7 linked regions of the Callithrix jacchus genome follow. The protein of the gene in region 3 binds, or shares a complex with, the protein of the main gene of each other region. Links are inferred from orthologs where the notes say so. Each region holds a gene or a part of one and is shown on either strand. Other genes may lie near its edges. The genes, in order: TAF6, TAF7, TAF10, TAF5, TAF11, TAF4 and TAF3.

Region 1 (4,067 bases), on a different chromosome or scaffold from region 3:
AGATGAGGACTACGTCATGAGAGTATCATGACCACCTTTCCTGACTTTACGTTTCTTCCCTCAAGAATCCAGGGAAGAAACGTGAAGTCAGGAGGGCAGCAAACTAGGGGATCAGGGCCAGCTCTGAAGTGCCCCCTTTCTCAACTGGGCCCCACACTAGTGCAGCTACGGAAAGTGCTGCTTGCTGAAAAATCCACATAGTACACACCGTCTGCAAAGTCTCACCCGGATGGGGAACCTCCCCTAGTCGTGTGGCCTCCTGTTGTTTTTGAGCTTGAAGGGCAGAATTACTCACCCTCAAACCCCGTCAGGGGTCGTGGGGCCTGTAATTTGGGAGCGTCTATGCTAGGGTGGGGCAGCAGATGTCCACAAGGCCTGAGCCTCACAGAGCTCCTGCAGCCTCTGCAGATTAAGGTCTGGTGACGGGAAACACGCACTGAAGATGCTCTAAAGTTGGCAGTCCAGGGCCAATGGTCCCTGAACTACAATTCCCACAATCCATTGGGGGGGGGCGGGGGGGTCCAAGTCAACCAAAAAAATGCAGGCTCTCTTTGAATGCCTCCTGGGAAGTGCAGTGCCATAGCTTTGGGGCGGCACTACACGTTTGCTTCCTTGACCCCATCCATTCAAATTCAGCCAAGCTCCACCAGAACCTCCCTCAAGCTTTCAAGGAGTTCAGGTGACCCACCCAATACAGTCCAAGAGGTCCGGCCTAGAAGAAGGAGGTGTGGCCGGGCGATGCCAACAGGGGCTACCCCCTTCAGATACCTTCGCATTTGCTGGGCAAACGTTCTGTGTCATCGTCCTCTTCCTTCGGCTTCCCAGCCCAAGCCCCGTGCACGGCCAAAAGGAAAAGCAATATTCCCAACCACATAGGTCCCATGACAAAGCGCCATCCACAAACAACCATCGCTTGCTTTCAAACCAACTTCGGGAAGGCAGTGGGTCCTTTAAATGCCCAGGCGGCTGGCGGCAACCTTAAATCCAGCCTGGCAAGGTCGGCGCACGAGCAGAATCAGCTCGGTAGGGGGCGGGGCCTCATTGCTCTGAGTTTCTCCGCCTCCGTTTTGTGGCGCCTCTTCAAGGTCCTGGCAGCCGGGTAGTGAAGGAATAATTTGCAGTAATTCAACCAAGACGGAATTCTTCTTATATGTAGATGTTTAAACAAAATTTTAAAATATAATTTCATTCCGTGAGTCCAGAGAACGTATTCTGGCACGGGGAAGCGGTAGCGATTTGGACTTCCGCTCTGCCAGGACCTGCTCCTAGGAGGGGGCGGGGCCAAGATGGCGCCCAGCGCCGGGTGAGCGGCGTCTTGGCGGCGGCCAGAGTTTTCCTGCTCCCAGCGTTCGGCTGGCGGGGGCGGGTCTGAGTGGTACTCTGGAGGAGACCCTTTGAAGGTCCCTTGTGGGGACTAGAAACAAGACGGTTGGTTGTGTGTCCGTGCTCGTGGGGACCCCGTGTGTGTGTCTGCATTGGAGAGATGTTGCAGGAGATGAGGTGGGCTCTCTGAGCCTCCTTTCGCGCTCCCCGGGGATTTTCGACCTGCTTCTCTGCTGGGATCCCGCTCAAGTTAATCCTCCCCTGGGACGCCTTCCTGCCGCCTCCACTGATCTGAGGAGATCCTGTGACTGTAGCGTGTTTTATGAGCCTTTACTGACAGAGGGTACCGCCGGGTATTGAAGGATTCGTAAGAGTTCGCCAGGGAAGTGGGACACGACCGCCTCTTATAAACGCGGCGCCAGGCACAGAGTATGTCTCGAATAATTGTGTTCCCTATAGATAAGACTTTAAAAAGTTGGGGAGGAGACCAGGGATGGTTTGAAAAGAACCAGTTTCTTCTTCGGCCTCCCTCTTCCCATCCTTCCAGCACAGCCCCACCCTACCACCTGTACTATTCCTGAACAGTATTGATGTTAATCTTCCTAATGTCCAGCTCCAGTGTGCCACTTGACTTTTTTTTTTTTTTCCTTGAGACAGGGTTTCTGTCTGTTGCCCACGCTGCTATGGAACTCCTAGGCTCAAGTGATCCTCCCACCTCAGCCTCTTAAGTAGCTGGGATGACAGGTCCACCATGCCAGGCTAATTTTTCAATTTTTTGCAGAGATGGGGGTCTCACTATGTTAAGCAAGCTGTTTCAAACTCCCATCCTCAAGTGATCCACCTTCCTCTGTCTCCCAAAGTGCTGGGATTACTGGAGTGAGCTACCTTGCTTGGCTCCATTTTGTTGTTTTTTTAAGACTGGAGTCTCCCTCAGGCGCCCAGGCTGGAGTGCAGTGACATGATCTCGGTTCACTGTAACCTCTACCTCCTGGGTTCAAATGGTTCTCCCACCTCAGCCTCCCAAGTAGCTGGGACTACAGGTGGCCACCCCCATGTTCTGCTAATTTTTGTGATTTTACAAAAAAATGGGATCTTGCCACGTTGACCAGGGTGGTCTTGAACTCCTGACCTCTGGTGATCTTCCCACCTCGGCCTCCCAAATTGCAGGCGTGAGCCACTGCACCTGGTCTACTTTGCTTTTAACTGCAGTGTAGGCTCGAAGTTTGGACCTGTGACATATTTTCTTAATAACAGCAATAACTAGTAGTTACCGAGTACCAACATCTCTAAACCTTACAACTAATTCATCTACTTAACAAATATTTATGATGTCCCAGGCTGGGATCCTGGAATACATTAGTGAACATAATAAAGTGCCCTGTCAGCTGGGCATGATGGCTCACGCCTGTAATCCCAGCACTTTGGGAGGCCGAGGCAGGCGGATCACCAGAGGTCAGGAGTTCGAGACCAGCCTGAGGAACATGGCGAAACCCCATCTATACTAAAAATACAAAAATTAGGCCGAGCACGGTGGCTCATGCCTGTAATCCCAGCTACTCGGGAGGCTGAGGCAGGAGAATCACTTGAACCCACGAGGCAGAGGTTGCAGTGAGCCGAGATTGCGCCACTGCACTCCAACCTGGCGCCTGGCGACAGAGCAAGACTCTGTCTCAAAAAAAAAAGAAAATAGGAAAATTAGCCTGCTGTGCTGGCACATGCCTGTAATACCAGCCACTTGGGAGGCTGAGGCAGGAGAATCGCTTGAACCCGGAAGGCAGAGGTTGCAGTGAGCCAAGATCGCACCACTGCACTCCAGCCTAGGCAACAGGAGTGAATTCCATCTCAAAAAAATAAAAAGCAAATAAAGAGCCCTGTCTATATGGTGTGTGGTGGGGGTAATAAACAATAAGAAACGATACAACGAATTAGAAGGTTTTTTTGTTTTTTTGAGATGGAGTCTCACTTTGTTGCCAGGCTGGAGTACAGTGGCTCACTGCAACCTCTGCCTCCTGGGTTCAAGTGATTCTCCTGCCTCAGCCTCCCAAGTAGCTGGGACTATAGGCACATGCCACCACGCCCAGCTAATTTTCATATTTTTAGTAGAGACAGGGTTTCACCATGTTGGCCAGGATGGTGTCAATCTCTTGACCTTGTGATCTACCCGCCTTGGCCTTTCAAAGTGCTGGGATTACAGGCGTGAGCCATTGCACCCAACCCAGATGTTAAATGCTATAGAAAAGAAAAAGTGGCATTCATTCAAAAAAAGAAAAGAAAAAGTGGGCTGCTCCCACTCTGAGGGCAGAGTGCAGAGTTAAATAGGGTGGTCAGGGCAGACAGGCAATCAGGCATTCTGGAAGAACATTCCAGGCAGAGGGAATGGAGTAAAGGCTATTAGACAAGAGTATGCCTGGCAAGTTGAAGGGGCAGCCTGAAGGAATATGTGTCTGGATCAAAGTGGAAGCAGGAAGGAAAGGCAGTCAGAGATGTAATGGGAGAAGGCAAATTTTGAAGGGCTTTGTAGGACATTAAAAGGATTTTATCTTCTTTTTCTTTTTTCTTTTTTTTTTTTTTGAGAAGGAGTCTTGCTCTGTCACCCAGGCTGGAGTACAGTGACATGATCTTTGCTCACTGCAACCTCTGCCTCTCGGGTTCAAGTGATTCTCCTGCCTCAACCTCCCTAGTAGCTGCAATTATAGGCGTCCGCCACCATACCCATCTAATTTTTGTATTTTTAGTAGCGATAG
Region 2 (4,247 bases), on a different chromosome or scaffold from region 3:
ATAAATAACCTCAGTTCTTAGAATATTAAATAATTGTAGGAACTCAATTGAAGAAAATTAGAAATAAAATCTTAATTCAAACCAATGGAATGGTTCATTGGACTGCACTTGATAACCACTGCTTTGTTTTCAACATTTTAAGCAGGTAGATTTAGTGCTTTTAAAAAAAAAAAAGCACAAAGGCCTTCATCTACAGAAATTATGGTAAAGAAAGCTCTGTATCTAATGTTTCCCAGCTTCAAGTAGATCAGACAGAATTGGAACCTTAATGTGATGCAAATTTGACAACTCCCAATTTCTTTATCCCTGCTACGTTCCTTTTTTTTTTTTTTTTTTTTTTTTTCATAAAATCCAACTGCTTCTACCTGCAGAACAGGATTAAATTGCTCAGTTACTAAACTCCACCACAAAAACACCTCCCAAGAGAATCTCACTCCCACCAACCATGAAAGAACAAGATACATTATAAGGTGAAAAACAGACGCTTTTATTTATTGTATTGAAAACTTTATAAAATAATTTGCAGTTCTACATATGGGAAACTGCTTTGAATAACTGGGAAAACAGCTATTGCATGGGAAAACATATACAAACCAGCTTCACTGTCTCTAGACTAAGTTTTTCTTATTGATCTCATGTCATCACAAAGCAGCAACACCAGCTTCTAGGAAAATGGATAAACAGCAAAGTCCTGCAGTGAAACTATAATTAAGGTTGAACCATACATTACACTAATACTGCAACTTTCCTACAATCATTTTTCTGCCTATATAATTTTTCTTATAGGATTAACAACTAGCAAAACAAGGTAAGTTTGCAGAAAAACAAAATTAAAAACAAAAGAATTCAACAGAACACCCAGCATTAGAGGGACTAGGAAGGGCAAGGTCTTAATATGCAGTACAAGTAATAAAGCTAAGAATTTTCTACTGCTGACCAGTCTGAAGACTGAAATTCAGTAGCAGAGTTCTTTTTACTTCTCTAGGAGTGATTCTAGCTCCTCTTGCAAAGAGCTGAGTTGCTCCTTTTCTCGATCTTCCTTTTGCTTGAGCTCATCCAGTACAGCCTGAAATCTGTTCTTGAGAGCCAGATTTTCCACTTTCATGATGAGATCCTCTTGTCGTTTTGCCCTGTCCTGGGTCTCTTGGAGCTTGCCTTTCATGTTGTCAATCTGCTTCTGAATTCCCATAACCAGCTGATTGGTTCCTTCATTCTTTTGGTGCTGTTCGTCTGATGCATTTAACTTCTCCTGTAGCTGTCTCTCCAGATCTTCCTCAGTGTCAATGATGTTTATATCTTCTTCATCTTGATGCTGGGTCTCATCTTCATCCTCACTGCTGCTGCTGAGGTCATTGAATATCTCTCGAAGCTCATCATGCTCTAATGAGTCATGGCCCTGCCTGTGACCAGACATTCCTGGAGAAGAGATATCCAGGCCTTGATTTTCTGTCTCCTTTGTTTCATCTTCAGCAATTATTTCCCACCGAGTACTAACAGCTTCAGCATCTGTACTCAGCAATCGTTTCACTTCTTTCTCCACATCTGGAGATTCAATATACTTCTTCTTTGCTGTCTTCCGGAACCTTCTCTTCCTGACATTCTTTAGAGGCAGAGTAATTCCGTGGTTCCAGATGAACTTTTTCTCTTTGTCCTTATCCTTTTTCTTGCTAGCTTTAGGATCAGCGCTAGCAACTGGCTCCTCCACTGGAGGATAGAGATCACCATCAACTGTGGCTACAAGCATCTGAGAGATATCAGCTGTCTTGTAAAAGGTTTTCTTATCAATGGTTTTCAAGCTTTCCATAACACAAGGTAGGTCAACCAATTTTGAGGCCAATGGAACACGGTCCACTCTGACAATTCCATGACGCCCATCAGGGTGTAACTCAATTGTCAGTCTGTCCTTGAGGTTGACATGACCAGACTGTACTGCCCTTCTCACAGTAGAGGCATATTCTGGAGGCAGACGTAAGATAAACTGGCTCTCCAGTTCGTGAGGAGCATCATCTTTGCTTTTACTCATCTTTATTTCTTTGTGACTCACTTCTCCAATAAATGCTGGTTACACTGAAAAGTTCCAGCTACTGCAACAGTTTAAAACACCAGTTTGCTATGAATTGAAATCGTTTAATTACAAGAAGTTCTCTGTAGATCAGCAGCTAAGCGTCTATTTTGCTTCAGTTTTAAGTCCAAGTCTTTTCTCTAAATATGCTGTGACTGAATACCAGTCGTTACTGACAACAATGGCTTATTCACAGATTTTTCATTAAATCAGATGCAATGCCAAGTCCCAACCTCTAGGTGCCGCTGCCGGACAACGCGGATAGAGCTAGCTAGCTACAGAGCAGGAAAGCAAATGGCGGCTCCCGCGGAACGGTTTTCGGCCCAGAAAGCCCAGCAGAGACACTCCCAAGTCACAGACTCTCCCGGAACAAAGACATTCAAAAAATCGGGGCGCAGTAAGCTCTCTTCGCCTCGGGTACTTACAATCCAGTGACGATTATAAGTTCAGTTTCACCCGGTTGGAGCGAACAGGAGGCCGAGCGGAGCAAAGCGGGAGCAGGCCGAGCGGAGCAAAGCGGGAGCAGGCCGAACGGAGCAAAGCGGAAGGAAGCCGAACGGAGCAAAGCGGGAGGGAGCCCAGCGTCTCCTTCTCGTTTCCTTTGTTCTTCCTGCTGGTTTGCAGAATGATCCACTACCGATTACTGATGAAAGGGCCCGGGACGGGCAGCGCGAAAGCCTGACGAGAGCGGCAGCCCGCAGCACAACAACCGTCAACTCGCTGACCCTCCGACTGAGTGCCCAACCCAGCGAAAAAGGAAGTGCTACGTCACGGCGCGGGGCGGGAGGCGGCTGTGAGTGACAGCCCGCCCGGGCGGAAGTGCGGAGCCCGGCGTGCGCCGGCGCAATAGCGCAATTACGGTGCCCAGCGTGAAGTTCGTCTTTTCGCGAGAAATGTTCTTCCAGGATGAAAATGGCAGGGTTTCGTAAGGGCTGTTGGTTTCAAAATATTTAAAGGTTGGAAGTTCCAAGAAAGATACAGATTCATCCCCCGCTAAGCCAGCACTTTTACGGGATCGATTTGGGGCTCGATGGCTTTTAGACTTCCGGGTGATCCCCGGAGATGGAGTCCTTGCTTCTGGAAACATCTCGGATGCTCCCTAGGGTCTTAACCAATCTGGTGTCAATACAAGAATGTGTAGCTGCTATGCAATGGATTTTAAAGTACCCGAATTAGTGGAGTGAGGACATGCAGCTCGCTATATAATTCTCTCTCTCTCTCTCTCTCTCTCTCTCTCTCTCTCTCTATATATATATATATATATATATATTTTTTTTTTTTTTTTTTTTTTTTGACACAGAATCTCACCCTGTCACCCAGGCTAGAGTGCAGTGGCGCGCGATATTGGCTCACTGCAACCTCCACCTCGGGAGTTCAAGCTGTTCGCCTGCCTCAGCCTCTAGAGTAGCTGGGATTACAGGCACGTGCCACTACGCCCGGCTAAGAGAAGGGGTTTCACCAGGTTGGCCTCCAACTCCAGACCTGAGGTGATCCGCCTGTCTTGGCCTTCCAAAGTGCTGGGATTATAGGTGTGAGCCACCGCGCCCAGCCCACAGTCTACATTGTTTTAATTCTGAGAATGCCTGTAGGGGAATCCTACCTCTGGATTTACTTTTGTTCTGGAATACTCCTGGGGAAACAAGGATGATTCCTTTTTATGTGCTTGATTTAGATGTAAATGTAAACAGTGAAGGAAGTGTTCTTCTGGAAGCACAGGTTCATTTTGGACAGAATTGTCTGATAGCTGAGCATCTTTTTAAAGTAGATATAATGGAAGTATTGTTTCCTGCCTCTCTTGTAGCTAATTTTAAATTACTCTGGAAATTTTTTTTTGCACTATCTCTGTTTTGCTGTTTTCTGCTTGTCTTTTCTATGGCTAGTCAGGTATTCTTCAATGCATGCTTTTAGTATTTTGGCATAACTGGATAATAGTACTTATTTCTATTTATTTTTAAAATAAGATCTGTTTGGTAGAGCATAATGGCCATTAATACTTAATTTCTATCCTCTAAAATATTAATTGCCCCTAAATTTAAGAGAATTCTCTCAAGATGTAATTAACAGTTCCAAAATTCACTTTATTGCCTTATGATCCAAAGCTCCGTGATAGTGATCTTTTTCCATCTTGGCCGTTGTGTCCCAGTTCATAGTATCAGAACTTGGGAGATACACAAAAAATATTTGC
Region 3 (3,273 bases):
ATCCCCACTACTACTACATTTTTTAGGGCCATGTTCTCCTGGAAAAACAAACAAACAAAAAACAACAACAAAAAAGTGTTCTTCCTGCCAACCCCAAACCATCTTCCAGAGTAAAATGCAAATCCCATCAGGCCACTTGATGAAAACCCTTCAAGGATTACTGGATAGAGTTCAGGCTTTTTTATTTTTCCAATCATAGTTCACAAACCTTCCTTGCTATTTGTTCCTAAGTAACAAATCATTTTTCCTCCTCCCTCCCCAAACTCCTAGAACTCTCACTCTTGCTCAAGCTGCTCCGTCCCCTTAACACCACCACCCTTGATAAAATTGCCTCGTTAATTTCCAGAATTCTTGCAAGACTCAGCTCAGAAGTCACCTTCTGTCATGAATGCTTTGATTCCCTGAGGCTACTTTATTTTGGTATGCGTAAAAAAACCCCTAGATTTTCTAAACAAAACCTCTTTGAATCTTGGTTCTGAAATGGACTAGGAGACCGACTGGGTCAAGTAAGTTTAACACCCTGAAGCTGTTTCCTCGTCTGTTAAGTGGGAATATCAATACCTGCCTTTCATAATAACGAGGAAATAAAGTGAAATAACGTTGATACGAATGCTTGGGACCTGGGAGTAGGTAGCAGATGTTAACGCCCTTCCTCCCTTGCACTGCACCCCCTGTGCCTACCTCTAGCATTGTAACATCCACATAGTATTGAAATGGCCAGTTTACTTGTTTGGCTTCCTTTCCAAGACCGCTGGTGCCTAGAGGACTAGAATCACGTCCTATTTAACTGTAATCCCCAGACCCTAGCTCAGGAGTTGGCAAATAAGAATTAAATGTCTGCTACATTGAAAACCCCACGTCTTTCACTCGCTGTGATTTTTGCGTATGCTGTTGACTCAGGCTGAAACCCCTCCTCCTCCTACAGCAGCACTGTGTGCCGGCCCACTGCTGCCCCCACCTCTCGGGGCAGTTGGTGGAGAAGGGGGCTTTCCAAATCCACTACGAACCCTTAAAAGGCTGAATAAGGGAACTTGAAAGGATGCAGACAGGCAGGCAATCCGTAGTCGAGGGATGTAGGGCCATAAACCTCGAAGCAAGGTCTTGAACGTCAGGCAGAACGAGCTGAAAGAGGAGTCAGAGGAGTCCCAGATGAACGCTGGTTCCGGTCTCGACTGAATCGCCGCGGAGCACGGCACAGGCTAGGGCGGAATGGCGACGGCAAGCGCAGTTGGCCAAGGCTTGGTCTCCTCCCTTCAGCCTATTTTCTCTAACCCGCAGACCCGCTACCGGAGGAGGCGGGGAGCGGGCCGGAGAGTGCTAACAGTGACAGGCGGGGCGAGTCGTGGGCGCGTGACGTCACCCCAGGGTGTGCGCAGCGCGAGCGGAAGCGGAAGCGGCTCTGTTCGCCGCCTCTCCCACCGGCCCGATGAGCTGCAGCGGCTCTGGCGCGGACCCCGAGGCGGCGCCACCCTCTGCCGCCTCGGCCCCGGGCCCGGCGCCCCCGGTGTCGGCTCCCGCCGCGCTGCCAGCTAGCACCGCCGCGGAGAACAAGGCCAGCCCCGCGGGGACAGCAGGGGGGCCTGGGGCTGGAGCAGCTGCTGGGAGCACGGGACCCTTGGCGCGGGCCGGGGAACCAGCTGAGCGGCGCGGGGCAGGTGAGGACCAGGACGGGTGAGGGCGAGGGCAGCGCTTTGGACTGGGCCCAGCGGCGGTTGGGGGCAGAAGGTATAGGCAGACCTCGCTGGGGCCCTGCGCCTCCCACCTCTGTGTCTCATTTTGCTGGTTCTCCTCCAGCTCCGGTGTCGGCGGGTGGCGCGGCGCCCCCGGAGGGGGCCATGTCTAACGGGGTTTACGTACTGCCCAGCGCGGCCAACGGAGACGTGAAGCCCGTGGTATCCAGCACGCCTCTGGTGGACTTCCTGATGCAGCTGGAGGATTACACGCCTACGGTGGGCTTCCCGCCCGAACAAGGCTAACTAGCCTGCCGTCACAACTTTCAGCTACATCTCCGTGCTTTCCAGCGTCTTCTGTTTGCTTCCCTAGTCGCTCTTCTGATTTTTTTGCCCTCTGCCCCACAAACTGAGCTTCCTGATTACCAGGCCTATCCATTTCCCTCATCCTCCTCCCGCTCTGCTGACAGTTCTCTTAATTGATTTCTCAGATCCCAGATGCAGTGACTGGTTACTACCTGAACCGTGCCGGTTTTGAGGCTTCAGACCCACGCATGTGAGTAAACCCAGGGCAGGTTAGTTTTGGGTACTTGTGCAGTTTGTTTTTCATCTCCTTCTCATCTCAGTTTTTTCTCTCTAGAATTCGGCTCATCTCCCTAGCTGCCCAGAAATTCATCTCAGATATTGCCAATGATGCCCTACAGCACTGCAAAATGAAGGGCACAGCCTCCGGCAGCTCCCGGAGCAAAAGCAAGGTGTGAGGGGAGGCTCAATGAATCAGTAATTACCTTCCACAACAGTGGAGGCTTATCCTGCCACCCCCTTGGGGAAACTGAATCCTAGGGGAGGTATATGACTTACTCAGGGTCACCTATCTGGGATTGAAGTCTAGGAGTCCTGTGTTCAGTTGGTACTCTTCACTCTTTCCTCAGGACCGCAAGTACACTCTAACCATGGAGGACTTGACCCCTGCCCTCAGCGAGTATGGCATCAATGTGAAGAAGCCGCACTACTTCACCTGAGCCACCCAACCTAAATGTGCTTGTCTGTCCCCATGTCCCCACACCAGCCTGTTTTCATAATAAACTTTATTGTGACAGGCAGGGCTGATCCCTCCCATGTTGGGAGACACCATGTGGCAAGTGACAAAGCTCTGAGCCCACCCCTTTTGGGGCCACAGTGGTAGGGATTCGGGAAGGGGATGGACCCCATGGCTGGGGTAGTACCATGACTAGAGGCAGGGGAGGCAACCAGAGGCCTGCTGCTTTGGGGTGGTGCACTCCCCCAACCATGTCCTGACACCTTTGGAGTTTAGGCAAGGACTTTCCAGTCCTACTTGTCCTGCATCTTCTCCAGGATAGGCACAATCATATCAAATTTGGGTCGCTTTGCAGGGTCTTCATTCATGCAGATCTTCATGAGCTTACACACATGAGGGGAAATACCTGGTGGGATGGTAGGCCGAAGGCCTTCCAATGCCACCTGTGAATACAAGAAAAAACTGAGCCTTAGAATTTGAGTCTATCATGTAGAAAGAAGCAACTGGCTCTTGGGACAGGATTACTGTATATCCGAACAAATACAGAAGGAGCCCAGGCCCACT
Region 4 (3,981 bases), on a different chromosome or scaffold from region 3:
CAGAGTCTCGCACTGTCGCCCAGGCTGTAGTGCAGTGGCGTGATCTCAGCTCACTGCAATCTCCGCCTCCCGGGTTTCACCATGTTGGCCAGGATGGCCTCGATATCCTGACCTTGTGATCCGCACGCCTTGGCCTCCCAAAGTGCTGGGATTACAGACGTAAACCACCGCGCCTGGCCGATTTTTAAATATACAATTAAAATAGCTTATTTATAATAACAGGTAATAGCATGAATACATAACGTACATATTTCACAGCCACAAAATTCTGTTATTTAAAATCTTTTTATTGAAATGTAATGTATATGGCTTTCGCCTGCAATCTAAGCACTTTGGGAGGTTGAGGCGGGCGGATCACCTGAGGTCAGGAGTTCGAGACCAGCCTGGTCAACATGGCGAAACGCTGCATTTACTAAAAATACATAAATTTGTGGGACATGGTGGGCCGCACCTGTAATCCCTGCTACTTGGGAGGCTGAGGCAGGAAAATTGCCTGAACCCGGGAGGCGGAGGTTGCAGTGAGCCAAGATTAGGCCACTGCACTTCAGCCTGGGCGACAGAGCGAGACTCTATCTCAAAAAAAAAAAAAAAAAAAAAAAAGTAATGTATACGGTGTAAAGTTCATAAAGCATGCAGCTCGATTAATTTTTACAAAAGTAAAAACGGCCAAAAAAAAAAAAAATTAACCACTATCCAGGTCATAGAAAACATTACCAGTATCTCAGAAGCCTCCTTCTGGCAAATGGTATATGCTTTTAAGTTAAAGACCTGGATTCGAATGCTAACATTTGGACTTTCTTCTTGTGTGACTCTGGTAAATTATTTAACCTCTCTTGGTTTCGGCTAAGCCATCTGTGCAGTGAAAATAATATTACCTCATAAAATGATTGAATTGAAGGAGATCACATAACGTAAAACGTTACGTCTGGGATTACAGACGTAAGCCACGGCGTAAGCTAGCCTGCAATAAATTGCAATTATCAGGCAAATGTAATAGGCGGTCATCAACTCCCACTTCCTGCCTTTCTATCGCTCGTTTTCTAAAGTTACTCATTCCTATTCCGTTTCGCCTTTTTTTTTCGCTCCTCCTACTGCCGTAAATGGTCTACTAGAGCTGTCGTGAAATGCTCCTCCCCGACCTCCATGCGGCGAAAATGCAATCACGCTTGACGGCGCGAGGTGGCTCAGCCGCAAGATGGCGGCGCTGGCGGAGGAGCAGACGGAGGTGGCGGTTAAGCTAGAGCCTGAGGGACCGCCAACGCTGCTACCTCCGCAGGCGGGGGACAGCGCAGGCGAGGGTAGCGGCGGCACTACCAACAACGGCCCCAACGGCGGGGGCGGGAACGTTGCGGCGTCGTCGTCCGCTGGCGGTGATGGCGGGACCCCCAAGCCCACGGTGGCTGTCTCTGCCTCTGCCCCGGCGGGGGCGGCCCCGGTGCCTGCCGCTGCTCCGGAGGCCGGCGCTCCTCACGACCGACAGACTCTACTGGCGGTGCTGCAGTTCCTACGGCAGAGCAATCTCCGCGAGGCCGAAGAGGCGCTGCGCCGTGAGGCCCGACTGCTGGAGGAGGCAGTGGCGGGCTCCGGAGCCCCGGGAGAGGTGGACAGCGCCGGCGCTGAGGCGGCCAGCGCGCTTCTCAGCCGGGTGACCGCCTCGGCCCCTGGCCCTGCGGCCCCCGACCCTCCGGGTACTGGCGCTTCGGGGGCCACGGCCGTCTCAGGTTCAGCCTCAGGTCCTGCGGCTCCGGGTAAAGGTGAGCCGTGGGGTCCCGGGCAGGCACGGCCACCGCGAAGGGGAGCATGCCGGTAAGGCAGGGGCTGGCGGGCCTGCACCTCTGCGGGCTTGTTTTGAATTTCCTGGGCCCGCCTCTAGGGCCACATGCCCGCCCCTTTCTCTAGTGCGCCGGCTGCGTAGTCAAACCCCCTTCCGAGCTGTCAGTTCCAGCGAGAGGCTGAGGAGAGCTGCTGAGCAGAGGGATGTGTGAAGGTGGGCGCGGAGAGGCGGGTACCTTCAGGCTTTTGGTTCCTTTCCTCTCATATGGGGTTTTGAGCCTTAGTCATGTCCGCATGACGCTAACATAGTGTTTGTACAGTTTCGTATTAGCGTACTTTAATTTTTCTTTATTTCTTTACTTCCTCTTAAAAGATACGTTAGTAAATACTTTATAGTTTCTTTTTTTGTGTGTGTTTGTGACGGAGTTTTGCTCTCGCCCAGGCTGGAGTGCAGTGGTGCAGTCTCGGCTTACTGCAACCTCCGCCTCCTGGGTTCAAGCGATTCTCCTGCCTTAGCCTCCCCAGTAGCTGGGACTACAGGCGCCTACTACCACAGCTGGCGAATTTTTGTATTTTTGGTAGAGGCAGGCTTTCACCATGTTGGCCAGGCTGGTCTCAACCACCCGACCTCTAGTGACCCACCGGACTTGACCTCCCTGAGTGCTGGGATTACAGGAGTGAGCCAACATGCCTGGCCACCATGCAATATACCCTTGTACCAGTCCTGCACATCATGTGCCCCCGATTGTCAGCTAAAAGTTGGAATATTAAAAATACATATGGGTAGTACCACCAGTGTTAAGTCTTTGGAGGATGCAGGCTCATGGGCATCACTTCAGACTTAGTGAATCAGATCCTCTAGAGGTGGAATATGGGAATCTGCACTTTTGAATAAGTGCTTCTAAGGAGTATTGACATACGGCAGCTTGAGAATCATGTGTTCAGGCATCCCATTACACGTAATTTTTAATTTTTTTTGAGACGGAGTTTCGTTCTTGTTACCCAGGCTGGAGTGCAATGGCGCGATCTCGGCTCACTGCAACCTCCACCTCCTGGGTTTAGGCAATTCTGCCTCAGCCTCCTGAGTAGCTGGGATCACAGGCACGCGCCACCATGCCCAGCTAATTTTTTGTATTTTTAGTAGAGACGGGGTGTCACCATATTGACCAAGATGGTCTCGATCTCTTGACCTCGTGATCCACCCGCCTTGGCAATTTTTGTATTTTTAGTAGAGAAGGGGTTTCACTATGTTGGTCAGGATCGTCTCGATCTCTTGACCTCATGATCCACCCGCCTCGGCCTCCCAAAGTGGTAAGATTACAAGTGTGAGCCACCGCGCCAGGCCTTTTTTTTTTTTTTTTTTTTAGGTGGAGTTTCACTCTTCTTGCCCAGGCTGGAGTGCAGTGGTGCCATCTCAGCTCACTGCAAGTGATTCTTCTGCCTTGGCCTCCCGAGTAGTTTGGATTACAGGCATGCCTTACCATGCCCTGCTAATTTTTGTTTTTTCAGTAGATACAGGGTTTCTCCATATTGGTCAGGCTGGTCTCGAGCTCCTGACCTCGGGTAACTTCCTGACCTCCCAAAGTGTTGAGATTACAGGCATGAGCCACCGCTCCTGGTCAACCTCCTTTGTACTAAAAATACAAAAATTAGCCAGGTATGGTCCCAGCTGCTCAGGAGGCTGAGGCAGGAGAATTGCTTGAACCTGGGAGGTGGAGGTTGCAGTGAGCCAAGATCGTGCCACTGCACTCCAGCCTGGGTGATAGAGTGAGATGGTCTCAAAAAAAAAAAAAAAAAAATTCTTTTTTTTACATTAATATTGTCAGGAGGCTCTCATGTTGAATTTTCTCTATTAAATGAGTGGTTATGAGGCTATTATAATACGTATATGTGAAACATTTGGTATTGATAAGTTTATGCCTCTGTATCTGTCCCTAATACCTTAGCCCCTGCTTTCTCCCAGCAAATGTTGTCACAAAGTCCATGCAGTAAAACTCATATACAGTATAAGTTCTCACAGTTGATCCTGAGTTAACAATAAATGTTTATTGAATTCTCCAGTGCAGAGCCTTTAGCCAAATTCATCTGTATGAGGCCTAATCTTTGCAGCATTGCTTGAATACATAGCATTGTATTCATATTTCATTGTAATCCATAAATAGAAATGTGTGTGAGTGTGGCTGGGCACAGTGGTTCACGCCTGTAATT
Region 5 (3,500 bases), on a different chromosome or scaffold from region 3:
AGGGTCTCTCTTGACCACACAAATTTAATAAATTTTTCTTGGCCTTTTTTTTCTTTTAAAAACTTAAAAGAAAATGAAATGATTAGTACATTATGGCTATGCATGGTGACTCACACCTGTAATCCCAACACTTTGGGAGGCCACGGTGGGAGGATCACTTGAGGGCCAAGTTTGAGACCAGCGTGGGCAACAGTGAAACCCTATCTCTATACTATGTTTTATGTTATGTATGTCATGTCATGTCTTGTTATATTATGTTTTTATTTTATTTTTTTTGAGACAGAGTCTCACTGTGTCACCCATGCTGGAGTGCAATGACACAGTCTTAGCTCACTGCAGTCTCCACCTCCTGCGTTTAAGCAATTCTCATGCCTTAGCCTCCCAACTAGCTGGGACTACAGGGGTGCACCACCACGCCCAGGCTAGTTTTTATAGTTTTAGTAGAGACAGGGTTTCACTATGTTGGCCAGGCTGATCTTGAACTCATGACCTCAGGTGATCGCCCTTGGCCTCCCAAAGTACTGGGATTACAGGCATGAGCTACCATGCCTGCCCTTCTTTTTATGTATTTATATTTTCTATGCTGTGACATAATTGTTTTGAAAAAAAATTTTTTTTAAATAGAGGCCAAGTGTAGTGGCTCATGCCTCTAATCCCAGCACTTTTGAAGGCTGAGATGGGTGGATCACCTGAGGCCATGAGTTCAAGACCAGCCTGGCCAACATGGTGAAACCCTATCTCTACTAAAAAATACAAAAAATTAGACCAGGCACCATGGCTTGTGCCTATAATCCAAGAACTTTGGGGGGCCAAGGCGGGCAGATCACCTGAGGTCAGGAATTCAAGACCAGCCTGGCCAACATGGTGAAACCCTGTCTCTACTAAAAATAGAAAAATTAGACAGGCAAGGTGGCACATGCCTGTAATCTCAACCACTTGGGAGGCTGACGCAGGAGAATCGCTTGAACCAGGACCCGGGAGGGAGTGGTTGCTGTGAGCAGAGATCGTGCCACTGCACTCCAGCTTGGGCAACAGAGTGAGACTCCGTCTTAAGAAACTCAAATTCAAAAAATTAGCTGAGCGTAGTTGTGGGTGCCTGTAATCCTAGTTATTCAGTAGGCTGAGGCAGTAGAATCACTTGAATCCAGGAGGCAGAGGTTGCAGTGAGCCAAGATCGTGCCACTACACTCCGGCTTGGGCAACAGAGCCAGACACTCTTTCTAAAAGTTAGATAGATGGATGGATAGATAGATAGATAGATAGATGGATAGATAGATAAAAGAAAAAAATCACATCCCGCTTATGTTAAAAGTTTCAAGAGAATTTCTATACATATATATTTATAAATAAATTTTTTTTCAAAAATGTCAAATACTCTTACAGCCTATTTTTCACATTAGATATGGTGAATATTTTCCATGTCACTAATTATACATCCAGGTCATAGTTTTCTTAGAAATGGAAATCGCTTTATTATATTTTCTGATTGTAAAAGTAGTATGGACTCATTGCAAATAATTCAGAAAATACAGAAAAATAGAAAAAATTACCCAGAGACTCACCACCCAGAGTTTACTCTAAGCATGTATAGTTGGCTATAATATATGGACCTTTTCAAAGTTTTTTTAGATGTTTGCTATGTATAGCTAAATATTTTCCTGTCAGTAAATATGCTCATAAATCATCATTTTAATGGCTACATTGTATCGCATTGTGTTGTTGAACTATAATTTAACCAATCCCTGTAGTGGTTCTGGTTAGATTTTTTTTTTCTTTTGACATTACAAGGAGGATCTTTGGACATGTTTGCATACTTGTCCATTTCTTTCAATTACCTCTAGGAGGTGTAATTGCTAGTTCAAATAGTGTGAACATTTTCAAAGGCTTTTCATAAGTATTTCCAAATTTCTCTCCAAAAAGGTGTTCCAGTTCTCTGCCAGTATGTATGGGTTTGTACCCCATATTCTAATAGCATTCTTTTTTTAATAGTGATCTGATTTGTGAAAAATGTTATCTATGAAAATAATATTTCCTTGGTTAATAATAAAGGTTAATTTGTTTCCCCCATGTTGGTTGACCATTGATATTTTTGTAAATTGCCTGTTCATATCCTTTGTTCATTTTCATAAATTGATATGACCCCTTTATTCATTTGAAAGAATTAATTATACATTAGGGGTATTAACTGTTTCCATATATTTTGCAGATATTTCCCCTAAATCTGTTAATGTTGAAAACTACTGGTTTGATTATAAATTTGTATATTAAATTTTTACTATCAGTATGAAATTCAGTAAGGTAGAGTTATGGAGATTTAGTCTAATGCTGAAAACATAGTCTGTATCATATGATACAGTGACCCAATGTTGTTGTTTTCATTTTTCTTAAATGGTAAAAAGTTTTTATTTTATGTTTCCTCAAGTTCCTTAGGAGTAGAAGTGTTTTATCTTCATTCTTCAAGGCACCAAGCCTAATGCCATTGACCCTGTAAGAATTTATCTGTCTGAGAGTTTTACTGACTTAATAATATCTTGTATTCATTCTTATAAGTTAACTTAGTTACCTGGATCTTTGTCTAGAATCCTGGTTTCTTCTTTTTCTGAAGAGCAGCTGAACCGTTATGAAATGTATCGCCGCTCAGCTTTCCCTAAGGCAGCCATCAAAAGGGTAAGGATGGCCCACCACACTTCATTTCTGTCATACTTTAAAACCAAACTCAAGAGCCATGTCTATTGGCATTTGAAGTGAGGTGTTAGACAAGTCAGTGAATTATTTAGGTGGGGAAAAAAATGTCCCTCAGTTATCTTGCCCTTTTCTGTGAATTAATTGGTACTGTGTTCAAAGCCAGTCTTTGACTATCATAATCACCGAGTGTTTGTCCTTCTTTCAAGCTGATCCAGTCTATCACTGGCACCTCTGTGTCTCAGAATGTTGTTATTGCTATGTCTGGCATTTCCAAGGTTTTCGTCGGGGAGGTGGTAGAAGAAGGTGAGTAGTGTTGGTTACAAATACTGGATTCTACCTGTGGTCATCTTATTTTTAAGAATATCTATACAAAGGAACTTATTAGAGCACCTGTACAAGTACTTATTTGCACTTGAGGGTGACCAAGTGGGGAGCCCTGTATTCAGGAGAACGTGACCATTATTCCTTGCAAGTTTCAATAACAGATGGCAAGGAACCATCTGGGAAATCCCCTCCCTGATTCCTTTCCTCAGCCCAGGGTGACAGAAGTAGATTTTTTTTTTTTTTTTGAGACGGAGTTTTGCTCGTTACCCAGGCTGGAGTGCAATGGTGTGATCTCGGCTCACCACAACCTCCACCTCCTGGGTTCATGCAATCTCCTGCCTCAGCCTCCTGAGTAGCTGGGATTACAGGCACGTGCCACCATGCCCAGCTAATTTTTTGTATTTTTAGTAGAGGGGGGGTTTCACCATGTTGACCAGGATGGTCTCGATCTCTGGTCCTCGTGATCCACACACCTCGGCCTCCCAAAGTGC
Region 6 (3,500 bases), on a different chromosome or scaffold from region 3:
CCGCAGGGCCTGTCCTGAGCATTTGATGGTAGGTTCCCTATTCACACAGCCTGTCCTGAGCATTTGATGGCAGGCTCCCTATTCACACAGTCTGTCCTGAGCATTTGACGGCAGGCTCCCTATGCCGCAGGGCCTGTCCTGAGCATTTGATGGTAGGTTCCCTATTCACACAGCCTGTCCTGAGCATTTGATGGCAGGCTCCCTATTCACACAGTCTGTCCTGAGCATTTGATGGCAGGCTTCCTATTCACACAGCCTGTCCTGAGCATTTGATGGCAGGCTTCCTATGCGCAGGGCTGTCCTGACTGCCTGAGGCTCTTCCTGTCCAGTGTGGGTGTTTGGGTTTTGTTGAAGACATGGTTGCATTGTAGGCTGCTTCCCCAGGCCCCCACACGTATTCTGCAGCATCGAGTTTACCTGCCAGGGCACCGTTGCAAAAGATGAAACTAAATTCAGAAACATCTGGGCCCAGAGGTTTGGGGCCAGGCCTTGTGGGCTTGAGCATTGGCTTTTGACAGGGACACAAGTGTCTCTGGGTTCCAGCATCCTGGAGACGGGCCAGAGCACAGGCCGTGGTCAGTGCTGCTGGGTTTTGGACCTCTGCCCTGTGCTGGAGGTAGGAATGAGAGATAGGACGGCAGCAGACGTGGGCAGGCCCTGCCATGAGGGGCCCAGCAGCTGGGCAGACAGAGCTGGCCATACTGGAGGCAGTGGGTAGAGACAGACCCTTGAGGGCCAAGTTCAGGCAGGACTTAGGAACTGTAACCCCACTCCAGTAGAAAAGTCATCAGCTTCCTTATAGAAAATTCAGAAAGAGAGCTGCGTTTGGTGGCTCATGCCTGTAATTCAGCACTTTGGGAAGTCAAGGTGGGAGGATCACTTGAGCCCAGGAGTTCAAGCCTGGCCAACATAGCAAAACGCCATCTCTACAAAGAATACAAAAATTAGCCAGACAGTGGTGATGGGCACCTACAGTCCCAGCTGCTCAGGAAGCTGAGGTGGATTGCTTGAGCCCAAGGGGCAGAGGTTGCAGTGAGCTGAGATCATGCCACTGCACTCCAGCCTGGAGACAGGGAGATCCTGTCTCAAAAAAAAAAAAAAAGAAACAAATTTCAGATGGGTAAAACCACTTGACCTGTAGCCACCAGGCAACAATGTCACTTCTGCTAATATTTGGGAGGCAGTGCTCTACTCCATCCTGGGTTGCTGAGCTCAGCAGGCATCACTTTGTCGCCTGGCACCTCCAGGACCTGACCAGAGCCCAGGGGCAGCTTCTAGGCAGCAGATCTGCTCCTCCTGCTTCGCTCTGCTATGCCCACACAGGCACCCCTTGCCCACGTCCTGCCCTAATCTGGCCGAGACCATGCTGGGGGGTGTAGGGTGGAGAGGAAGGGAAGGGAGGAACCTTCTGCTAGGGACCGGGTAGGCCCCACCTCTTGGGGCATGCTCACTGTTCTCTGCTGGCTCTGCCTCAGGTGATCCAGCAGCCTCCGAAGCCAGGAGCCTTGATCCGGCCCCCGCAGGTGACTTTGACGCAGACACCCATGGTCGCGCTGCGGCAGCCTCACAACCGGATCATGCTCACTACACCTCAGCCGGTCCAGCTGAGCCCGCTGCAGCCAGGTGAGGGCCTCTCATGACCAAGGGTGGCCCCCAGAGCCAGCTGTTACTGCGCTTATATTTATTTTATTTTAATTGTGGTAAAATGTACATATCATAAAATTGGCTGTTTTAAGTGTCTGGATCAGTGGCATTAATTTTATTTGCCATGTCGTGTAACCATCCCCACTGTCAGTGTGATTTTAAATGTTATTTACACGTTTACCACAGTGAGCTTCTTCATTCGTAATTATTCCTGCACTTTAAAAACTGATGAAATACAGGAGAATAAATGCTGGAGAGAGACAGCTTATACTTTGTACTGTAATTTAGAGTTACTAACGTGAAGTTTTTGGAAACGATTGTGGCTAATTAGGAGAGTGGTAGCTGTGCCCTTAGGCCTGTAAGGCACATGGTTTGTCTAATGAAAGCCTCGTGTGGTTTCCACTGTGTGTTTGTTTTGTAGTCCCTGTGGTGAAACCCGCCGTGTTACCTGGAGCCAAAGCCCTTTCTGCTGTCTCGGCACAAGCAGCTGCTGCACAGAAAAATAAACTCAAGGAGCCTGGGGGAGGTTCGTTTCGGTAAGGAATGGGCCTGTGTACACTGGAGGAGCGTGGCCAGAATGGAGAAGAATCCAGAGTCCGTGCTGCTCCGTTCCCGTGCGTGGGTCTTTCCCACATGGCTCTGGCAGCCGGGAGCTCCACGCTCACTGTGACCTCACGTCTCACAAGTGTGTTTTCCTGTGGAGTCGGCTCAAAGGTTTTGCTTCATACACAGCCAGAAAGCAAATCAACTGAGTTTTTTATGTGAACTAAAAGAAAATTCATTTTTAAATATAACATAGTATTTTGAGTTCATTGTTTTCATCACATAGAATGAATGCTTCACTTTCCACACATTCAGCTTCAGAACCTTCAGAATGCTGTACTGCCAGGTGCAGTGGCTCACGCCTGTGGTCCCAGCACTGCAGGAGGCTGAGGTGGGAGGATCGCTTGAGCCCGGGAGTTTGAGACCAGCTTGGGCAACAGAGTGAAACCCTATTCAACAAACAAAATAAAAAATTAGCCAGACTTGGTGTGCACTTGGGAGGCTGAGGTGGGAGGATCACTTCTGCCCAGGAGTTCAGTGTTACAGTGAGCTATGATTTTACCACTGTACGGCAGCCTCGGTGACAGTGACACCCTGTTTCTAAGAAAATAAAAAGAAATGCTGTGCTTTGCCCGGGCCTTCTGGAAAGCAGCCGGTCTGAGCATCACCGTCAGTCAGGGAGATATTTACGGGACCTGAGCAATGGGAGAGGCTCGGGATGGTCTCTGTTGTGATCAAGCAGCCGGGGAGTGTGTGTGTTTCAGGAACTCTTGTGAGTTTTCTCTTTCCCAGACACTTCATCCCTAAAAGCATCAGGCAGGCAGAGCAGGCCTGGGGAGTGACTGTGGCCTGAGCCAGAGTCCAAGCTCAGGCAGCGAGAGGTGGCCAGCATGCCCAGGCTGGCGTGAGGCTAGTACTGCAGTGAGAAGGGAGGCACTTAGGGACATACACAGGTCAAAGAATTAATCAAGGCTGCTGGAAGCCTTGGTGTTTGCTGTCAAGGAGTCAGTGACCTGGCAGAAGGGATAAAGGAGAGCAAGTCCTGTGGGGTGGCTCAGGATTGGAATGCTGACGCAGACGCCTGGATTTCAGCCTGTGTCGGCAGGCGTGGATAATGATGGATCTTGCCATAAGTTTCTAGCTTTGTCCACTGCAGGACCCTGGAGCAGTAACGCCCTAATAGCACTGAGCACACCTAGTGCTCAAAAGTCATCTTCTAAAAACCGTTTTCCTCTAAACTGACAAGCCTCCTGAAAGAAAAGGCTGATTTCAGGGCAGTGATAAGGAAATACAAGATGAGTGGAGACCGTCTT
Region 7 (4,028 bases), on a different chromosome or scaffold from region 3:
TGCTGATAACTTGGGGACAGAGTGTCCATGAAGTAAATACGGGCACCTTGCCATATAGTACCTTGCTTCTCTGCAGATCGCCATTTAACTGAAGAACCATAATTTCACTCCTACTGCGTTTCCCAGACTTTCGAAAATTTGAGTATCATGTTCAAAGTTCTGGAATAGTCCCTGGAGGAGGAACATAGAGCCACTGATAAACTCTTATACTAAATACACTGTGATAGGTACAGAAAGGCATATTTAAGAAACCACATAGTTCAGCCACTACAATCGAGCTATCGGCAGGCTGAATCTAGACTTGCGGTGGGATCAGTTTGGTTTTTGAGATGTGTTCCCAATTCTGAATTTAAAAGTCAAGGTATTTATCCCCAAATCCCGATTTCTGGCAATATTTGGCTGGAGCTGGGAGGAGGCTCTGGGATAGGCAACCGTTCCCAGGACACTCAGCCTGAGATACGGGTTTGAGGCTCTGGTTTGACCTCTGGAGGTAGCCGAGGTCCCCATCCCCCTACAGGCCACAGCCGCGATACGCAAATCGCACACTACAGCCCACAGGGAGCTCACCTGGTTTGAAAAAAAAAAACGTTTTATTGCAACCATGGCTGGGATTAGAATGACATGAGTGAGGCAGGAGTTTATGGCATGGGTTTGGATTTTTAAAAAAACTATTAAAATATTATCCATCTTGATGACTGAGTTTTCTGGGGGGCCCATTAATTTGGCACAGAGGCCTCCTCCTAGTCCCCGCCCTACTGCGAAGGGCTTTAAAGGGCATGCGGAACAGCTTGGGCTTTATTTAATCTGTGCAGTGGCAAGCAGCTCAGTACACAGATTTTTAGCAGAAGTAAGACCAGCGCAGGTCTGCGTTTGGCGAGCATCTTAAATTCCCACGCCCCAAACTTCTCTCTAGCACTTAACCCTCTAACATGACTAACGTTATTAATGCTAACTCTCTAACATGTCAATGTCGTATCCCAGATCCCTCGTTTGCCCCTAAAACACGGGCGTTTTTGTCCCCGCTCTCCCCCCAGGTGAGCGCCCCTGGGAAGCACCCCAGCACCTGTCACCCATGGCGCCTCCTCCACCTGCGCTCCGCAATCCCGCTTCCGGCCGGCTTCCAGGCCTCAGAGACGATCCCGAGGCGTCGCTCCGCTCCCACGGGGCGGAGCTTTCTCATCGGCGCGCTCGGCATTCGGCTCGTGCTGCCTCGCTCCGGCGGCCGTCCAGCGAGAGGCGGAGCGAGTCCAAAATGGCGGCTCTCAGGCTGGCGCGCTCCGCGCTGCTGGGGCTTTGAGGTGGTCGCCGGGGGTCCGTGGGACCATTATCCCGCCGCCGAAGCCCTAGAGGATGAATCGGGGGCCCTGCTAAGGTCTGGCGGCGGGGCTGGAGAGCAGTGGCAGCAAGGGCTGCGGTGGCGTCCACGCAGCGGGATGTGCGAGAGTTACTCCAGGTCGTTGTTGAGGGTCTCGGTGGCGCAGATCTGCCAGGCGCTGGGCTGGGACTCGGTGCAGCTCAGCGCCTGCCACCTCCTCACGGACGTGCTGCAGCGCTATCTGCAGCAGCTGGGCCGGGGCTGCCATCGGTACTCTGAGCTCTGTGAGTACCGGGCTGGGTTCGGGAGGGCTGCCCCGGCAAGTCAAGGGTGACACCTCCGCTCTCCCTGCCCCTCCGCGTCTCCGGTGTGTGCGTCCCGCACCCTGCCTCGAGATCTGCTGTCTCCTCGGCCTCCCACGTCCCTGGGCTTCCACTGACCCTGCAAACTCTAGTCATCCCTGGGGTGCCTCTTCCTCATCCGCTAACTTCCCGCCACCAGCCCGGGAGCCGAGTCTTCGCTCCCAGCTCCACACCCTCCTGCAGCTCCTCCGCTCTGAAATGTGCCTGGATCTCTCTCATTGTCTCCTGTTTGCTGCGGGCAGATCCACCCCCAGCGTGCCTTACACCCTCTTTTACCTCGGTCCTTTTTCTCCCTTGCCCGCAAACTACTACAACTAGTTGTCACAGGCGCTCCGTCTACCGGCCGTTTCTTACAAGACTGGCCATTCCTGAGCTCCTAACTACACAGACTCGTTGACAGCTCTGCTCCGTTAGGGACACTGCCTCTTCTTTCTGTGTCTGTTCGTTTCGTGAACAACATCTCCACTTTCTGTTTTCCCAAGGCTGACTTTGTCAGTTTCGCTGATCAGATGCACTTTCACTTAACGTCTCAGTTACCGGTGAGATGTCAGTGGTTATCAAAGCGGGATAGAGGGACCATGGGCAGTTGGCGAGATTCTCCAGGTAATCTGGGCTACAGTACTACTTAAAACCTGTACAGTACAGTACGGGTTTTAAGTGAATGTCTGGTAATATCTATAGCTAGTGGTATTTAATAATTTAATGGAAGAAATGGTATTTTAATAGAAGCTACACGTTATCTTGTTGATGTGAAGCATTGCATGTGTGTTTGTTGAGGAGAGGAAACTACCACTCACTGAAGTTTCAAGTCATGATGTTTAAGGTGATAAGCTGGAGAACTGAATGAAGTGTTTCATAGGATACTTTGTTTTGTTAAAGTGGTTCCTAGACTGAAAAATGGAGACCCACAGACATGTTGTATCGCTTAGGCCCCGAGTTTCATTCCTGCTTCCACAGGGCTGCCAAAATAATCTGTCCACAACACAAATCTGATTTTGTCATTATTCTTAAAAACATTTTAACTGTATTCTATTGGTTACAGGCTAAAAATCTAAACTGTTAACAGCACACATTTCCCTTTGTGAGCTAGCATCTTGCTTATCTTTTGCCAGCCTGCCATGCTAATCTGGAGCCATGCTGAGCTACTTGCCTTTTCCAGAATGTTTTAGGCTATCCATTTCTACGTGCATGCTGTTTTCTACTTAGAGTGTCCTTTGCCCTGGCCCAGTAGTACTGCTTTTATTTTGAGATGTACTTATCACTTGCTCTAGGGACCTCATGTTATCTGCTTTCATAATTCTGTGCATATTTCTTTCATTTGTCATCTTGTTTTGTAATCACCTGTGTATGTCTCTTTCACCTCTCAGGAGAAAAATTGATTATATTTGTATTCTGTAACCTGTGGGGCCATTCTATAATAGCTACCTGAGAAATATTTGTTGAGTGAATGAATGAACTGATAAACCACTACCATAAGAGCCACATATTGACTTCACATTTTGAGTTCCAAAAATGTGTATGCTTTGAGTGCTTGATTTCACTGAGACTTCTATTCTTCTTCTTTTGAGACAGGATCTCACTCTGTCCCCCAGCGTGGAGTGCAGTGGTGCGATCTTAGCTCTCTATGGCCTCGAACTTCGGGGCTCAAGTGATCCTCCTGCCTCAGCCTTCCAAGTAGCTGGGACCACAGGGACATGCCTCCATGCCCAGCTAATTTTTTTATTTTTTGTAGATATGTGGTCTGGTTATATTGCCCAGGCTGGTGTCAAACTCCTCAGCTCAAGTGATCCTCCTGCCTCAGTGTGTCAAAGTGCTTGGATTACAGGCCTGAACCATGCCTAACTCACTGATACATATAAATTTGGAACTGCAAAGTAATATGCATGCATTTTTATCTTGAAAGTACATCAGCAGCTGACTACTCTCCTAGCTTTTGTTTCTTTTTCCTCTGGCCTGCTCTGCCATGGTCCTTGAGTGTACTGTTAACTGATAGGCTGGGCGAGGCGTAGTTCAGATTATGTTTGCTACCAAGTTCTCTACATAGGGACAGATGTTCTGTATCTTTAGACATTCAAAATGTCTCCTGAATACAGAGTTACCTTTCTTGCCTTTTATACAGAAGGGAGCTGGCACTCCATGTGACTAAGTATTCCATAGTCATCAAGGGGTCATTGCAGCTCTTCATTGTAAACCTTGTTCCTAATTACCTAATTTCCGTAGCCAGTTTCTTGGTTTCAGTGAGAATGAGATTGTCAACTTCATTATTCCCCATGATGATTTGGTGACTTTTTTTTGAATGCTAATTTTGGTATACTTATTAGATATTTTTAGATTCGTTTTTCTATACCAGC

Evidence for each region.
Region 1: TAF10 (region 3) and TAF6 share a complex: the UniProt entries of both Homo sapiens proteins name them as parts of the TFIID basal transcription factor complex. The link is inferred for Callithrix jacchus from reciprocal best matches to the Homo sapiens genes TAF10 and TAF6.
Region 2: TAF10 (region 3) and TAF7 share a complex: the UniProt entries of both Homo sapiens proteins name them as parts of the TFIID basal transcription factor complex. The link is inferred for Callithrix jacchus from reciprocal best matches to the Homo sapiens genes TAF10 and TAF7.
Region 4: TAF10 (region 3) and TAF5 share a complex: the UniProt entries of both Homo sapiens proteins name them as parts of the TFIID basal transcription factor complex. The link is inferred for Callithrix jacchus from reciprocal best matches to the Homo sapiens genes TAF10 and TAF5.
Region 5: TAF10 (region 3) and TAF11 share a complex: the UniProt entries of both Homo sapiens proteins name them as parts of the TFIID basal transcription factor complex. The link is inferred for Callithrix jacchus from reciprocal best matches to the Homo sapiens genes TAF10 and TAF11.
Region 6: TAF10 (region 3) and TAF4 share a complex: the UniProt entries of both Homo sapiens proteins name them as parts of the TFIID basal transcription factor complex. The link is inferred for Callithrix jacchus from reciprocal best matches to the Homo sapiens genes TAF10 and TAF4.
Region 7: TAF10 (region 3) and TAF3 share a complex: the UniProt entries of both Homo sapiens proteins name them as parts of the TFIID basal transcription factor complex. The link is inferred for Callithrix jacchus from reciprocal best matches to the Homo sapiens genes TAF10 and TAF3.

Annotation. Positions count from the first base shown.
Region 1 is NC_133503.1:13,465,479-13,469,545, forward strand, and holds the start of TAF6 (transcription initiation factor TFIID subunit 6), read left to right. Parts: upstream 1-1,267; 5' UTR 1,268-1,752; intron 1,753-4,067. Other genes in the region: CNPY4 (protein canopy homolog 4), read right to left, coding at 769-801. UniProt on the Homo sapiens protein: The TFIID basal transcription factor complex plays a major role in the initiation of RNA polymerase II (Pol II)-dependent transcription.
Region 2 is NC_133503.1:39,749,875-39,754,121, forward strand, and holds TAF7 (transcription initiation factor TFIID subunit 7), read right to left. Parts: upstream 2,801-4,247; 5' UTR 2,024-2,800; coding exon 974-2,023; 3' UTR 467-973; downstream 1-466. UniProt on the Homo sapiens protein: The TFIID basal transcription factor complex plays a major role in the initiation of RNA polymerase II (Pol II)-dependent transcription.
Region 3 is NC_133511.1:72,318,326-72,321,598, reverse strand, and holds TAF10 (transcription initiation factor TFIID subunit 10), read left to right. Parts: upstream 1-1,401; 5' UTR 1,402-1,426; coding exon 1,427-1,655; intron 1,656-1,794; coding exon 1,795-1,949; intron 1,950-2,161; coding exon 2,162-2,226; intron 2,227-2,310; coding exon 2,311-2,425; intron 2,426-2,602; coding exon 2,603-2,692; 3' UTR 2,693-2,773; downstream 2,774-3,273. Other genes in the region: scaffold protein ILK, read right to left, coding at 3,003-3,152. UniProt on the Homo sapiens protein: The TFIID basal transcription factor complex plays a major role in the initiation of RNA polymerase II (Pol II)-dependent transcription.
Region 4 is NC_133513.1:96,354,618-96,358,598, forward strand, and holds the start of TAF5 (transcription initiation factor TFIID subunit 5), read left to right. Parts: upstream 1-1,181; 5' UTR 1,182-1,195; coding exon 1,196-1,754; intron 1,755-3,981. UniProt on the Homo sapiens protein: The TFIID basal transcription factor complex plays a major role in the initiation of RNA polymerase II (Pol II)-dependent transcription.
Region 5 is NC_133505.1:43,122,966-43,126,465, reverse strand, and holds part of TAF11 (transcription initiation factor TFIID subunit 11), read left to right. Parts: intron 1-2,579; coding exon 2,580-2,667; intron 2,668-2,891; coding exon 2,892-2,988; intron 2,989-3,500. UniProt on the Homo sapiens protein: The TFIID basal transcription factor complex plays a major role in the initiation of RNA polymerase II (Pol II)-dependent transcription.
Region 6 is NC_133506.1:57,566,970-57,570,469, reverse strand, and holds part of TAF4 (transcription initiation factor TFIID subunit 4), read left to right. Parts: intron 1-1,475; coding exon 1,476-1,623; intron 1,624-2,065; coding exon 2,066-2,180; intron 2,181-3,500. UniProt on the Homo sapiens protein: The TFIID basal transcription factor complex plays a major role in the initiation of RNA polymerase II (Pol II)-dependent transcription.
Region 7 is NC_133508.1:6,118,234-6,122,261, reverse strand, and holds the start of TAF3 (transcription initiation factor TFIID subunit 3), read left to right. Parts: upstream 1-1,228; 5' UTR 1,229-1,433; coding exon 1,434-1,599; intron 1,600-2,092; exon of another isoform or gene 2,093-2,186; coding exon of another isoform or gene 2,187-2,280; intron 2,281-4,028. UniProt on the Homo sapiens protein: The TFIID basal transcription factor complex plays a major role in the initiation of RNA polymerase II (Pol II)-dependent transcription.